2 linked regions of the Drosophila melanogaster genome follow. The protein of the gene in region 2 interacts with the protein of the main gene of each other region in a biochemical or structural test. Each region holds a gene or a part of one and is shown on either strand. Other genes may lie near its edges.

Evidence for each region. The genes of interacting proteins can lie anywhere in the genome.
Region 1: of the proteins of Ubi-p63E (region 2) and not, one has a biochemical effect on the other in vitro, tested with the Drosophila melanogaster proteins (one study listed by BioGRID).

The regions. Positions count from the first base shown.
Region 1 is NT_037436.4:18,617,510-18,623,885, reverse strand, and holds not (non-stop), read left to right. Parts: upstream 1-1,756; 5' UTR 1,757-1,773; coding exon 1,774-2,514; intron 2,515-3,053; coding exon 3,054-3,455; intron 3,456-3,516; coding exon 3,517-3,627; intron 3,628-3,694; coding exon 3,695-4,509; intron 4,510-4,678; coding exon 4,679-4,721; 3' UTR 4,722-5,080; downstream 5,081-6,376. Other genes in the region: bora (aurora borealis), read right to left, coding at 1-763, 822-1,099. UniProt on the Drosophila melanogaster protein: Histone deubiquitinating component of the transcription regulatory histone acetylation (HAT) complex SAGA. Catalyzes the deubiquitination of histone H2B, thereby acting as a coactivator in a large subset of genes.
Region 2 is NT_037436.4:3,897,419-3,904,766, forward strand, and holds Ubi-p63E (Ubiquitin-63E), read right to left. Parts: upstream 5,767-7,348; 5' UTR 5,586-5,766; intron 5,503-5,585; exon of another isoform or gene 5,437-5,502; intron 5,290-5,436; exon of another isoform or gene 5,109-5,289; intron 4,633-5,108; exon of another isoform or gene 4,435-4,632; intron 4,353-4,434; 5' UTR 4,342-4,352; coding exon 2,050-4,341; 3' UTR 2,013-2,049; downstream 1-2,012. Other genes in the region: Ccz1 (Caffeine, calcium, zinc sensitivity 1), read right to left, coding at 41-522, 586-1,379, 1,444-1,541, 1,597-1,680; Sc2, read left to right, coding at 6,123-6,493, 6,651-6,867, 7,088-7,203, 7,266-7,348.

The DNA of each region.
Region 1 (6,376 bases), about 15 Mb from region 2:
GATCTCTACCTTGGAGTGCACCAATCTCCGACTGAGATGCTCCGACGGGGCAATGGGCGACGGCAGCTCCAGCTCGTGCATTAGAAGTTTCCTCTTTCCCGAGCAAGTACCATTATCGGGCGTGCCAGGCGGCAGTCCGCATAGGTTTCTAATGGGTGAAAGGCAGCCGAAGCTACTTTCCCCGGATGCGGAATCCGACAGTCTGCCAGCGAACATTGTTTGCTTGCCCTGCGGACTGGAGCCCACCATGGACCTCGATGGCTCTGCCGTGTCCTGTTCGCCCAAAACAATGACATTGTGCAGATCGAAGAGTTTCCGGCGCATGGAACTATTAAAGATGTCGGGACCACCACTTGACTTGCTCCTGCCAGACAAGCGGCCAGCCAAATGTGGCTGGAAGTACGGACGCAGGGCATCCTCTAGGGCTTTTGGCAATATCGGCGGCAAAGTAAGTTCCGTTTGCACCTCGCAATCCCGCATCCTTCGCGACTTATTCGATATGGGAGTGTTGTCCTCGCTGCAATTGAGTATTATGCGCTGTTTTCGCAATGGGCAATCCACCGGACTGGGCACAATGAGTGACTCCTTGAAAAAGGCACTGATGGCCAACTGGGCCTTGGATTCCTGCTCGGGATCGGGGGAATCGTGGAACTGGGTTTCATGGGGCTCCACGTCGGCGGGTTTTAGTTGGGAGACCTCGTCAATGTTCCACTCGAACTGGGTGGACGAGAGTTGGGGTGTCCGCGAGCGGAAAAGTGAGGGGCTGCCAGGAAAAGAGAGGGTCGCGTTAAGAGGATTTTTCGAGCAGACGAAAAACTCACCTGGCGATCAGTGGCAGGTGTAAACGATCGGCCATCGCTCCTTCGAAGGGATTCCGCACCTTGTGCAGCCTTTTCGGGGGCGGGGTGCACACATTTCCCGACATCTGGGGGCTGTATTTTCCATTTTCTTTGCCGCCATTCGTTGGCGTTGCCGACGCCGCCGACGAGTTGCTGCTGTTCGAGTGGCTGTTACGGCGCGCCCGGCACTTCAATCCGTTCACATTTGTAATGTATCGATTCTTGAGGGCTTGCGGCGTTCGCACCTCGTCGTTGTACATCTTTTTCAGTCACTAAGTCGCCTAATTTCGACTTAAAATAAAACAAGCGCGCCTGCTGCGACTCGCAGGCAGATGTCGGTATTTTCAAATGCAGCAGTGTTGTATAGCGATGCAGCGGAGTTATCGAATCGTTGGCAATTCGAAAAGCAGAATGCGAAAGTGAGGGATGTTCAAGGAAAAAAAGGTGCTAACGACTGATTTGTCACTTAATATTTATTTATTCGCATATCTAAAAGTGCCTGCAAATTATTTCGACTCCCGTCTAACTTTTAGTATTTTTATTTTGCGCGCCACCCGCTGCTTGCTGTCGATAACACATCAGCTGGGCGACTTTAACCGTTTTATAATAAAATGGGACCAGTCTAAAAATAAAGAATGGTTACTGGTATACAAAATTGTATCCCATTATAAACTTGAGGAATAAGTAGCTCGTAATTATCCGAATATGGATGCATTTCAATATTTGGGCTGCTAGAACCTTTTATTGTTCCTATAACCCGAATAGAGATTCCATTTCAATATAACTTTATCTTGAATGGTTTAGTTTACTTTCTATTTAAACTAATATTCCGTTTTAAATGTTTCAATACTCTTATATTAGAAAAATACCAATGCCAACATCTGAGTACGATTTCGCAACTGGTCACACTGACAGCTGTCTTCTACCAACACATATGCGCGCGTGTGTATGTGTTTGCGTGCAGTGCGAAATAGAAACAAGAAAAGCAAGCGAAAAATCACAGAAATTCACAAAAAAAAAGCCCAACTACTTCCAAAATTGGGCCGCCCGGCGAAGAACCGCAAAAGTGGCCAAAATTCGGCGAAAACAGCGCAAGTGTGACAAAGCATTCGTGCCGCTGCAGTCGTCGGCGAAACGGGCGAAAACAAAAGAGAATAGTGTTGATAGTAATACGAGCGTATTTAGCAGTAGCAGCAGCAGCAGCAGTGGCCGAAGCTTCGGCAGGGGAACGGAACGGTGGGCGGTGGGTGCAGAAGCGGGCCGGGGAACGGCCGAGAACGAAACACTAGCAGTAGCAGCAGCAGCAGCGACAACAACAAATGCCGGTCGCTTTATCACCGCCGATCTAATCAAAACAGTTAACAGCGACAAGCAGCGAGACAGAGTAGCAAAGGGCCACAGGGACGCGAAAAACCCCCTAGATGCCACCAAACATTTGCGCCTATCGGACTGCTTGCGTACCGTGCAAAAACTTGCTATTGAACTTGAGAGCGCCGACGCCGGCAGCGACGCCAGCGCCCAAGCCAACGCTAGCGCCGACGCCAGCAGCGCCGTCATGTCCGAGACGGGTTGTCGGCACTATCAAAGCTATGTGAAGGAGCACAGCTACGATACATTCCGGGTCATCGACGCCTACTTCGCTGCTTGCGTCAACAGAGATGCGCGCGAGCGAAAGGTGAGTTCAGTAGCGTGGAAGAGAGTGGGAGCTAGAATGAGTGCGCTACTGGCGTGGTGAGGTGAGAATGTGCGAGTGTGCGAAGGGGAGAACGCAATTACAATCAGAGGTGCGCCGTGAGTCACGTGAAAGGTCACTGACACCCCGGCTGTGGGATGACAGTGGCAGACAACGCACCGTTCTCACCACAAAGCAGTGCGGACTTTTTTGAATGGGTAAAGCATGCAACAGCTGTTTTAACAGCTGACAAATTGGCACTGTGAAAAATACTTTTGCATCGAAAAAGTTTTGTTTTCATTACGGTGAAATTACATATCAAGAAAAATATATTCAAAATATTTAATATTGTTACATGGCTTTTGTATTTTTAGCTTCATATTGATTATATATTATATTGCTTACGAGATTTAGAGTTTTCAAATTTTTGTTACACTTTTATGCATTTAGTATGGGACGTATTTTTTGTAAAGTTAATGGGATTAGAAAAAAAACGAATATAATTTTTTATCAGCTGCCATTTTAAAATCTACCTCCGCCAGGCTATTCACTGCAACTGCTTCGAGTGCGGCAGCTACGGCATCCAGTTGTACGCTTGCCTGCACTGCATCTACTTCGGATGTCGGGGGGCCCACATCACGAGTCACCTGCGATCCAAGAAGCACAATGTGGCCCTGGAGCTGTCCCACGGAACGCTCTACTGCTACGCCTGCAGAGATTTCATCTACGACGCGCGGAGTCGCGAGTATGCGCTGATCAACCGCAAGCTGGAGGCGAAGGATCTGCAGAAGAGCATCGGCTGGGTGCCGTGGGTTCCCACAACCAAGGAGACCAATCTGCTGCTGGCCAATGCGAGGCGTCGGCTGGTGAGGCCCAATCAAACGATCGGACTGAGGGGTCTGCTTAATCTGGGCGCCACTTGCTTCATGAACTGCATCGTCCAGGTGGGCAAATCCAATTAAACTGGCGAGTCTCCTCTCACTGACTTACTCCTGTCTCCTCTAGGCTCTGGTTCACACGCCCCTGCTCAGCGATTACTTTATGTCAGATCGTCACGACTGCGGCAGCAAGTCATCGCACAAATGTCTCGTTTGTGAAGTGTCACGTCTCTTCCAGGTGAGTTCAATATGCTGTGGTGTTTATGAGGAGTCTTTTCTATTCGATATGCTATCCCCCTTTGTAGGAGTTCTATTCCGGCTCCCGTTCGCCGCTGTCGCTGCACCGGCTACTGCATTTAATCTGGAACCATGCGAAGCACTTGGCCGGCTACGAGCAGCAGGATGCGCACGAGTTCTTCATCGCCACTCTGGACGTGCTGCATCGGCACTGCGTGAAGGCAAAGGCGGAGCACGAAAGCAAGAGCAACAGCTCTGGCTCGGGAAGTGGAACCAATTCCAGCAACTCGAGCAGCTCGCATTGCTACGGCCAGTGTAATTGCATCATTGACCAGATCTTCACGGGCATGCTGCAGAGCGATGTGGTGTGCCAGGCCTGCAACGGAGTGTCCACCACGTACGATCCGTTTTGGGACATTTCGCTGGACCTGGGCGAAACAACAACGCATGGTGGTGTTACTCCAAAAACGCTGATAGACTGCCTGGAGCGGTACACTCGGGCCGAGCATCTCGGATCGGCGGCCAAAATCAAGTGCTCTACCTGCAAATCCTACCAGGAGTCCACCAAACAGTTCAGCCTGCGCACTCTGCCCAGCGTGGTGTCGTTCCATTTGAAACGCTTCGAGCACTCAGCTCTGATCGATCGCAAGATCTCCTCGTTCATTCAATTCCCCGTGGAGTTCGACATGACGCCCTTTATGTCGGAGAAGAAGAACGCCTACGGCGACTTCCGGTTCTCTCTGTACGCCGTGGTCAATCATGTGGGCACCATCGACACCGGCCACTATACGGCGTATGTGCGGCACCAGAAGGACACGTGGGTCAAGTGCGATGATCATGTGATAACGATGGCATCGCTCAAGCAGGTGCTGGACAGCGAGGGGTAAGAATGACCAATATATTACAACTTTATCACCGCAAAAGCAGCATTCAATGTTAACTTACTTAAGTTGATTTCACGTCTTATCTTAAATTCATATACAACGTTATTTAGCTTTTTATTCGGATTATCAAATCATTATTAACTAACTACTTATTTTCACTTCTTTCAGTTATTTATTGTTCTACCATAAAAATGTGCTGGAATACGAGTAAGAAAATCCGCTGAGATCGATTAAAGCAGCGACTGCATCCCTCAAAAAACAAAAGCAGAAAACAGAAGTCAATGCATTACGAATTACGAATAAACACAAAATACAGACAAGGACGCGGCAGCGCTTACATATTAAGTAATATTAACACAAACACGAAAGCAATCCTACAATTTGAGGAGTGTTCATTTGATTCGATTGGGGTTATTCAAGCTCACAAACTCAAAACATTGGAACGAACAATGGAGAACAAAAAAAAAGGAAATTAATGAAAATGTAATCAATCTGAACACTCGATTTGTGGAGATACCCGTTTTGCTCTAAGTATTTCAAATCCATAATACTAAAAACAAAATCAAAAACAACAAGCAGATGACTTATACATTTATATTTAAAAATCAAACAAGGGATATTCTACAAACGCCGTATTACAAATGGAAAGCGAATTTTTATCATTTTTCTTGAAATGCCTTTTATTGAAAAAAAAAATGTTAAAAACTCATTTTCAGACACATCCGTTATAACTGAACCAAAATCCAAATCATGCTTATGAATGTCATGGATTTTTTTTATTTCGTCTTCATTTAAATAAGGAGAGCAATAATTGTAAATTTAAATACTTACATTTTTGGGGGCTTAGGAAACTGGGATTAAGATACATTGCAATTATTTAAAAAACAAAAAAAAATTACAACCGACGTCAACTTGGGCTCGTCCGGGAATTGAACCCGGGACCTCTCGCACCCGAAGCGAGAATCATACCTCTAGACCAACGAGCCTGCGGTACTGGGAGCGATCAGAATGACGCTTTTTAATGTGCGAGCCCTCTCACTCCATCGCTCTGCCTTGTGCTATGAGCAGGCTAAAAAGAGACAACTATAGTGTGCGCTTGGTTCGAACGCTTGCTTACTTATTCGATGCACAAACCACATTGAATGTTATCTGGGAATATAATATGCTATTTATGAGCATACATTTTTTAATTCCGTGTAATGAGAACCTACTCTTGTTGGATAAAATCCAATTGTCTAATTAAACTTTTCACAGTCACAGCTATACATAATTGTTCCTCAATTTTCGTGAGGAATTTTATTTATTTTAAGGTATAAAATCCTTTTTCTGAGACTACCATCTTCTGAGCTTGAATTATTATTAATTTATTAAAGGAAATGTATATTTTATCGGGTCAATTACCTTATCGATAAGATCGGGAGCTTTGCAATACTGTCGCAGTTGGAAAAAGTCTAGGTGTCGTCAGAACGCGGATTAAAATGTAGTTTCAAAAGTCGTACAATTATCCCAACTTCAAGTAAAATGGCTGCATATGCGAGCGCAAGAGGCAAAATTATTATCAACGCTGCCCAAAACATCCAGAACTAAGCAGCCAAAATGTTAAAACAAACGGTTAATATGCATGCTCATATGATTTTGCCGCAGATGAATTTTTTAATGTACGCTCGACAATGCGCTTTTCGCAACGCTCATGCAAATTACTTGTGAGTCTCCGGGATTTAAAAAAGAATCAATCCTAGACGAAAACTGTAATGTTACATAGTTTGTACGTAAGGAAATACATAAACATTATGGAAATGTGCCAATTTTTCAATTGTAATGAACCAAATTGCGTTTGTTTACTTTTTGTATTTCGATGGTATAGGT
Region 2 (7,348 bases):
CACAATTGGCGCACTCCCATTATTTACCTAATCCTCCTCTTTATTTGTCAAAAAATACATCATCTGTGAGCTCTTGCTCGAAAATGCGCCTCGCTTCCTGGGTGACGTCCAGCAAGGTGGCCTTGCTATTGCACAGGATCACATAGTACTGCCTGTAGTTACAGCGCCGCTTCACAATCCAATAGTCATTGGTGGTCTTGACCTGAACTTCCTCGGCAGGAGCACTCTCCATTTCCGCCTTGCCACTGCCATTGGCCAAGTCCGCAATGATACTAAGCACATTGCGGGGCAGCCCTTGGGGCAGGTGCCTCTGAAAGTTCGTGTGGTGCTGCAGGCTTTGTTCGTTAATGAACAAGTACTTCGGCGCCGTTTCGCTGTTCCCGCTGGAGTTGTCCTGGCCTGCAGCACCCACCGCCTCCTTTGTCAACTCGCTGGATATGTCCCGGGCCAACGAAGTCAGTTGGGGAGCCATGTAGGCATGGAGATCGTCGTAGAGATCTTGTTTCGGCGCAACCTGGTCAGCTGACAAATGTGGAATGTTTCAAGTTGATTATTTTGGCTATTTAGTTCTAATCCTTAACATACCATTCAGAAACAGACACAGAGTTATGTGCAAAGCGCGGTAGATGAGCAAGTAGTAGGGTTTGGCCTCCTTGTCCAGTGTCACATAGACCTTCATTGGATGATCTTCCTCATTCACAGCGTCATGTTCATCTCCTGCGACCTTCTGACGACTTCTTACGAATCCGCCCACCTGGCATTCACTTATGCTTCGCTTTAGTGAAGGAGAAACTGCAATGGTGGAACTGCTGGCCTCGACTTTCAGCACGTGTTGCACGACATACGAGTGCACGCAGTGCAGATCCTCCGGGCTAAGTTTTCCGCCACAAAGGACCTGCTCCTGGTAGAGCATTATGCTCTCCTTGATGTCGGGGAAGGTCTCGCACAGGGTGCCAAAGTTTTGGGCCCGCAAGAAGAGCGTTTTATCCAATGGCAGATACTGAATGGAATGCAGCATATCGATGATATCACATTGCGCGGGATCCCTCAGGTTGGTCAGATGCTGATCATAGAACTGGAGTAGCTTCTGGCAGAGCAGTTCCCTACGCTTATCCGGATTAGGTTCTTCACTTCCGCAGGAGGAGAAACATCCGTTTTGAAAGCGAAACATTTGATAGCATTGTCTAAGTATTGCTCTATAAATCCTGTCGGAGATCTCGGCACCCCGATAATCGGCCACCTCCACGCCCTCCTTTAAGCGCACCTCCTTGGGAACATTCAGGACCAGTACTAACCAATACCCTGGCTCGGGTTGGTAGAAGAGTTGTGTGGTTTTCTGGGTATGCAAGGCCTGGCAATCATCTTCAGATGTAAAAGTTCTGCAAGTACAGCAAACTCTGTATTATTACCCACTTCCCTCTATGTAAAAAGTTCCATAAATACCCAGTGAACCTTATGATGGCCTCACTTAGTCCCACATCTTTGATTTTCGTATTTAATTCAATGTCATTTGGATGGTAAAACAAAACCTTCTTGTGTTCCTGAAAAAAATTACTCATTAGGGGCGTTTCTTAGCCTTAAAATTGATTTGCCAACCTCGCCTTCAACTTGGCCAAAAGTCGAGTTAAAAATGTAAAAGCTGCGTAACGTAATTTCTACGCGTTGCAATAATTTAGCCATTTCTTTCCGCACAGAATTAAAAGTATTTATTTTGGCCAAAGGTAAATAATGAAAAGGTACTAACGCGTCCGTGTTTGCCAACCAGGGTTACATTTTACCAAATGTAGTGTGCTAGTATATACCAAACGTTTCCAGTACCAAATTAAAAAAAATACCACACAATTAATAAGCGAATTTAAAGCTTTTTCATTTATTTTGGAATTTAATAGATTTAATAAAATTTATGTCATGGCGTTTACTGAAATTTAGAATTTTTCTGATGTCTTCCCTTTTGACAATGCAGAAAGGAAAGTGGCCATCCATAATCTCCTCATATTTATTTAGAGTGAAGTGCGTGCTAAATTGTGTTTATTTGGAAATGTATTTAGTTTAAGCCTGGATTCCTCCACGGAGACGGAGCACCAAGTGAAGGGTCGATTCCTTCTGGATGTTGTAATCGGACAGGGTGCGTCCATCCTCAAGCTGCTTGCCGGCGAAGATCAGACGCTGCTGATCTGGGGGAATTCCCTCCTTGTCTTGGATCTTAGCCTTAACATTCTCAATGGTGTCCGAGGGCTCTACCTCGAGGGTGATGGTCTTTCCGGTCAAAGTCTTCACGAAGATCTGCATACCACCACGGAGACGAAGGACCAAGTGAAGGGTGGACTCCTTCTGGATGTTGTAATCGGACAGGGTGCGTCCATCCTCAAGCTGCTTGCCGGCGAAGATCAGACGCTGCTGATCTGGGGGAATTCCCTCCTTGTCTTGGATCTTAGCCTTAACATTCTCAATGGTGTCCGAAGGCTCTACCTCGAGGGTGATGGTCTTTCCGGTCAAAGTCTTCACGAAGATCTGCATACCACCACGGAGACGAAGGACCAAGTGAAGGGTGGACTCCTTCTGGATGTTGTAATCGGACAGGGTGCGTCCATCCTCAAGCTGCTTGCCGGCGAAGATCAGACGCTGCTGATCTGGGGGAATTCCCTCCTTGTCTTGGATCTTAGCCTTAACATTCTCAATTGTGTCCGATGGCTCTACCTCGAGGGTGATGGTCTTTCCGGTCAAAGTCTTCACGAAGATCTGCATACCACCACGAAGACGAAGGACCAAGTGAAGGGTGGACTCCTTCTGGATGTTGTAATCGGACAGGGTGCGTCCATCCTCAAGCTGCTTGCCGGCGAAGATCAGACGCTGCTGATCTGGGGGAATTCCCTCCTTGTCTTGGATCTTAGCCTTAACATTCTCAATGGTGTCCGAAGGCTCTACCTCGAGGGTGATGGTCTTTCCGGTCAAAGTCTTCACGAAGATCTGCATACCACCACGGAGACGAAGGACCAAGTGAAGGGTGGACTCCTTCTGGATGTTGTAATCGGACAGGGTGCGTCCATCCTCAAGCTGCTTGCCGGCGAAGATCAGACGCTGCTGATCTGGGGGGATTCCCTCCTTATCCTGAATCTTGGCCTTCACATTCTCAATGGTGTCCGATGGCTCTACCTCGAGGGTGATGGTCTTTCCGGTCAAAGTCTTCACGAAGATCTGCATACCACCACGGAGACGAAGGACCAAGTGAAGGGTGGACTCCTTCTGGATGTTGTAATCGGACAGGGTGCGTCCATCCTCAAGCTGCTTGCCGGCGAAGATCAGACGCTGCTGATCTGGGGGAATTCCCTCCTTGTCTTGGATCTTAGCCTTAACATTCTCAATTGTGTCCGATGGCTCTACCTCGAGGGTGATGGTCTTTCCGGTCAAAGTCTTCACGAAGATCTGCATACCACCACGAAGACGAAGGACCAAGTGAAGGGTGGACTCCTTCTGAATGTTGTAATCGGACAGGGTGCGTCCATCCTCAAGCTGCTTGCCAGCGAAGATCAGACGCTGCTGATCTGGGGGAATTCCCTCCTTGTCTTGGATCTTAGCCTTAACATTCTCAATGGTGTCCGAAGGCTCTACCTCGAGGGTGATGGTCTTTCCGGTCAAAGTCTTCACGAAGATCTGCATACCACCACGGAGACGAAGGACCAAGTGAAGGGTGGACTCCTTCTGGATGTTGTAATCGGACAGGGTGCGTCCATCCTCAAGCTGCTTGCCGGCGAAGATCAGACGCTGCTGATCTGGGGGAATTCCCTCCTTGTCTTGGATCTTAGCCTTAACATTCTCAATTGTGTCCGATGGCTCTACCTCGAGGGTGATGGTCTTTCCGGTCAAAGTCTTCACGAAGATCTGCATACCACCACGGAGACGAAGGACCAAGTGAAGGGTGGACTCCTTCTGGATGTTGTAATCGGACAGGGTGCGTCCATCCTCAAGCTGCTTGCCAGCGAAGATCAGACGCTGCTGATCTGGGGGGATTCCCTCCTTATCCTGAATCTTGGCCTTCACATTCTCAATGGTGTCCGATGGCTCTACCTCGAGGGTGATGGTCTTTCCGGTCAAAGTCTTCACGAAGATCTGCATACCACCACGGAGACGAAGGACCAAGTGAAGGGTGGACTCCTTCTGAATGTTGTAATCGGACAGGGTGCGTCCGTCTTCCAGTTGCTTGCCGGCGAAGATCAGACGCTGCTGATCTGGGGGAATTCCTTCCTTGTCTTGGATCTTAGCCTTAACATTCTCAATGGTGTCCGAGGGCTCTACCTCGAGGGTGATGGTCTTTCCGGTCAAAGTCTTCACAAAGATCTGCATTTTGGATTATTCTGCGGGAAGAAAATAGAGATGTGGAAAATTAGTACGAAATCAGACGAGTTTCGTTGAAATTACAAAACTATTGAAACTAACTTTCTGGCTGGGGAATAAAAATGGGAAACTTATTTATCGACGCCAACTTTGTTGAGAAACCCCTATTAACCCTCTACGAATATTGGAACAAAGGAAAGCGAAGAAACAGGGAACAAAGGGTAGTTGAGAAACCTTTGTTCCGTTGCTTCGTCATCGTTTTCGTGTTGCGAGTGTGTGCATGTATGTATACACAGCTGAAATGCATGCATACACATTATTTTGTGTGTATATGGTGACGTCACAACTACAAGCAATAAGAAATTTTCAGACGTGGCTTTGTTTAAGCAACCTACTCTATTTCAGCTAAAAATAAGTGGATTTCGTTGGTAAAATACTTCAATTAACTAAACAACTAACTAATAACATGCACACAAATGCTCGAGTGCGTATGTGATTTCTCGAATTTTCAAATACGTCACTGCGAATTTCACAATTTGCCAATAAATCTTGGCGAAAATCAACACGTAAGTTTTATTTATAGATTTGTTTGCGTTTTGATGCCAATTCATTGGGAAAACGAGATGCGTGGCTGCCAATTTCTTATTTTGTAATTACGTAGAGCGTTGAATAAAAAAAAATGGCCGAACAAAGACCTTGAAATGCAGTTTTTCTTGAAATTACTCAACGTCTTGTTGCTCTTATTACTAATTGGTAACAGCGAGTTAAAAACTTACGTTTCTTGTGACTTTCGAGAATGTTCTTTTAATTGTACTTTAATCACCAACAATTAAGTATAAATTTTTCGCTGATTGCGCTTTACTTTCTGCTTGTACTTGCTGCTGCAAATGTCAATTGGTTTTGAAGGCGACCGTTCGCGAACGCTGTTTATATACCTTCGGTGTCCGTTGAAAATCACTAAAAAATACCGTAGTGTTCGTAACACTTTAGTACAGAGAAAAAAAATTGTGCCGAAATGTTTTTGATACGTACGAATACCTTGTATTAAAATTTTTTATGATTTCTATGTATCACTTTTTTTTTGTGTTTTTCGTTTAAACTCACCACAGTACAAAACAATAAAATATTTTTAAGACAATTTCAAATTGAGACCTTTCTCGTACTGACTTGACCGGCTGAATGAGGATTTCTACCTAGACGACCTACTTCTTACCATGACATTGAATGCAATGCCACCTTTGATCTAAACTTACAAAAGTCCAAGGCTTGTTAGGATTGGTGTTTTGGAATTTAAGACCCTTGTTAGTTTGCTTTTGAAATAGCACTGTCTTCTCTACCGGCTATAATTTTGAAACTCGCAGCTTGACTGGAAATTTAAAAAGTAATTCTGTGTAGGTAAAGGGTGTTTTAAAAGTGTGATGTGTTGAGCGTTGCGGCAACGACTGCTATTTATGTATATATTTTCAAAACTTATTGTTTTTGAAGTGTTTTAAATGGAGCTATCTGGCAACGCTGCGCATAATCTTACACAAGCTTTTCTTAATCCATTTTTAAGTAAAATTTGTTTATACTCTTTCGGCAAATAATTGTTAAATCGCTTTAAGTGGGCTTACATCTGGATAAGTAATGAAAACCTGGATAATATATTAATACATATAATCCACTGTGCTTTCCCCGTGTGTGGCCATATACCTAAAAAAGTTTATTTTCGCAGAGCCCCGCACGGTCACACTACGGTTCGGCGATTTTCGATTTTGGACAGTACTGATTGCAAGCGCACCGAAAGCAAAATGGAGCTGGAGATTTTGAACGCGAAGAACAGCAAGCCGTACGGCAAGGTGAAGGTGCCCTCCGGCGCCACGCCCATCGGCGATCTGCGCGCCCTAATTCACAAGACCCTGAAGCAGACCCCACACGCGAATCGCCAGTCGCTTCGTCTGGAACTGAAGGGCAAAAGCCTAAAGGATACGGACACATTGGAATCCCTGTCGCTGCGTTCCGGCGACAAGATCTATGTGAAGGATCTGGGTCCCCAGATTGGCTGGAAGACCGTTTTCCTGGCCGAGTACGCCGGCCCACTGATTGTATACTTGATTTTCTACTTCCGACCGGAGTTGGTGTACGGCAAAGCTGCCAGTCTGCCGATTTCCCTAACCACCCAGTGAGTTTGTAGAAAGTAGTCTCTGAAGTCTTTCGATTGTCGACCTAATCGACCTCGTCGCTTATGCAAACTAAAACGCAACGGCTCTGCATAATTATCCCCGAACTTTGGATGGTGGTTCACCCAGTAACCCGCTTTCTTTTCTCTTTTGCCCCAGCATTGCCGCCGGCTGCTATACGGTCCACTATGTGAAGCGTCTGCTGGAGACGATTTTCGTGCACCGCTTCTCGCACGCCACCATGCCGCTGAGGAATCTCTTCAAGAACTGCACATACTACTGGGGATTCACCGCCTATGTGTCCTACCACGTGAACCATCCGCAGTTCACCTCGCCCTGCATGTGCACCGTTTGGGGAGCTCTTGGGGCATTCGCTGTATGTATCCGCGGCCATGGTTTATGGATCTGGGTTATATGTTTTCGTAATCTACCGGTTTCCTTTGCTTTTGTTCGAAACATTTGTTTCTTAATACCAAAGGTGTAGCTTTTTGTTAAAATTGGTCAAGCAATTTGTAATGTTATATGTGCTATATATTTGGGATCCATTAATCATATTTGCAGACCCACAAACTAAGCCGCACACTTTTCACTTTCAGCTCTGCGAACTAGGAAACTTTTCGGTGCACATTGCCCTGCGCAACCTGCGTCCGCCGGGAACAAAAGTGCGCAAGATTCCGGTGGCCGATGGAAATCCCCTCACCAAGCTGTTCGAGTAAGTGGTCACTAAAAAAACCCACAGCTCAAGTTTATTAATTCGCGCTCTTCGAACTGCAGCTTGGTTTCTTGCCCCAACTACACCTATGAGATCGGTGCCTGGGTTTCATTCTCTGTGCTGACTTCTTGCCTGGCTGCCTATC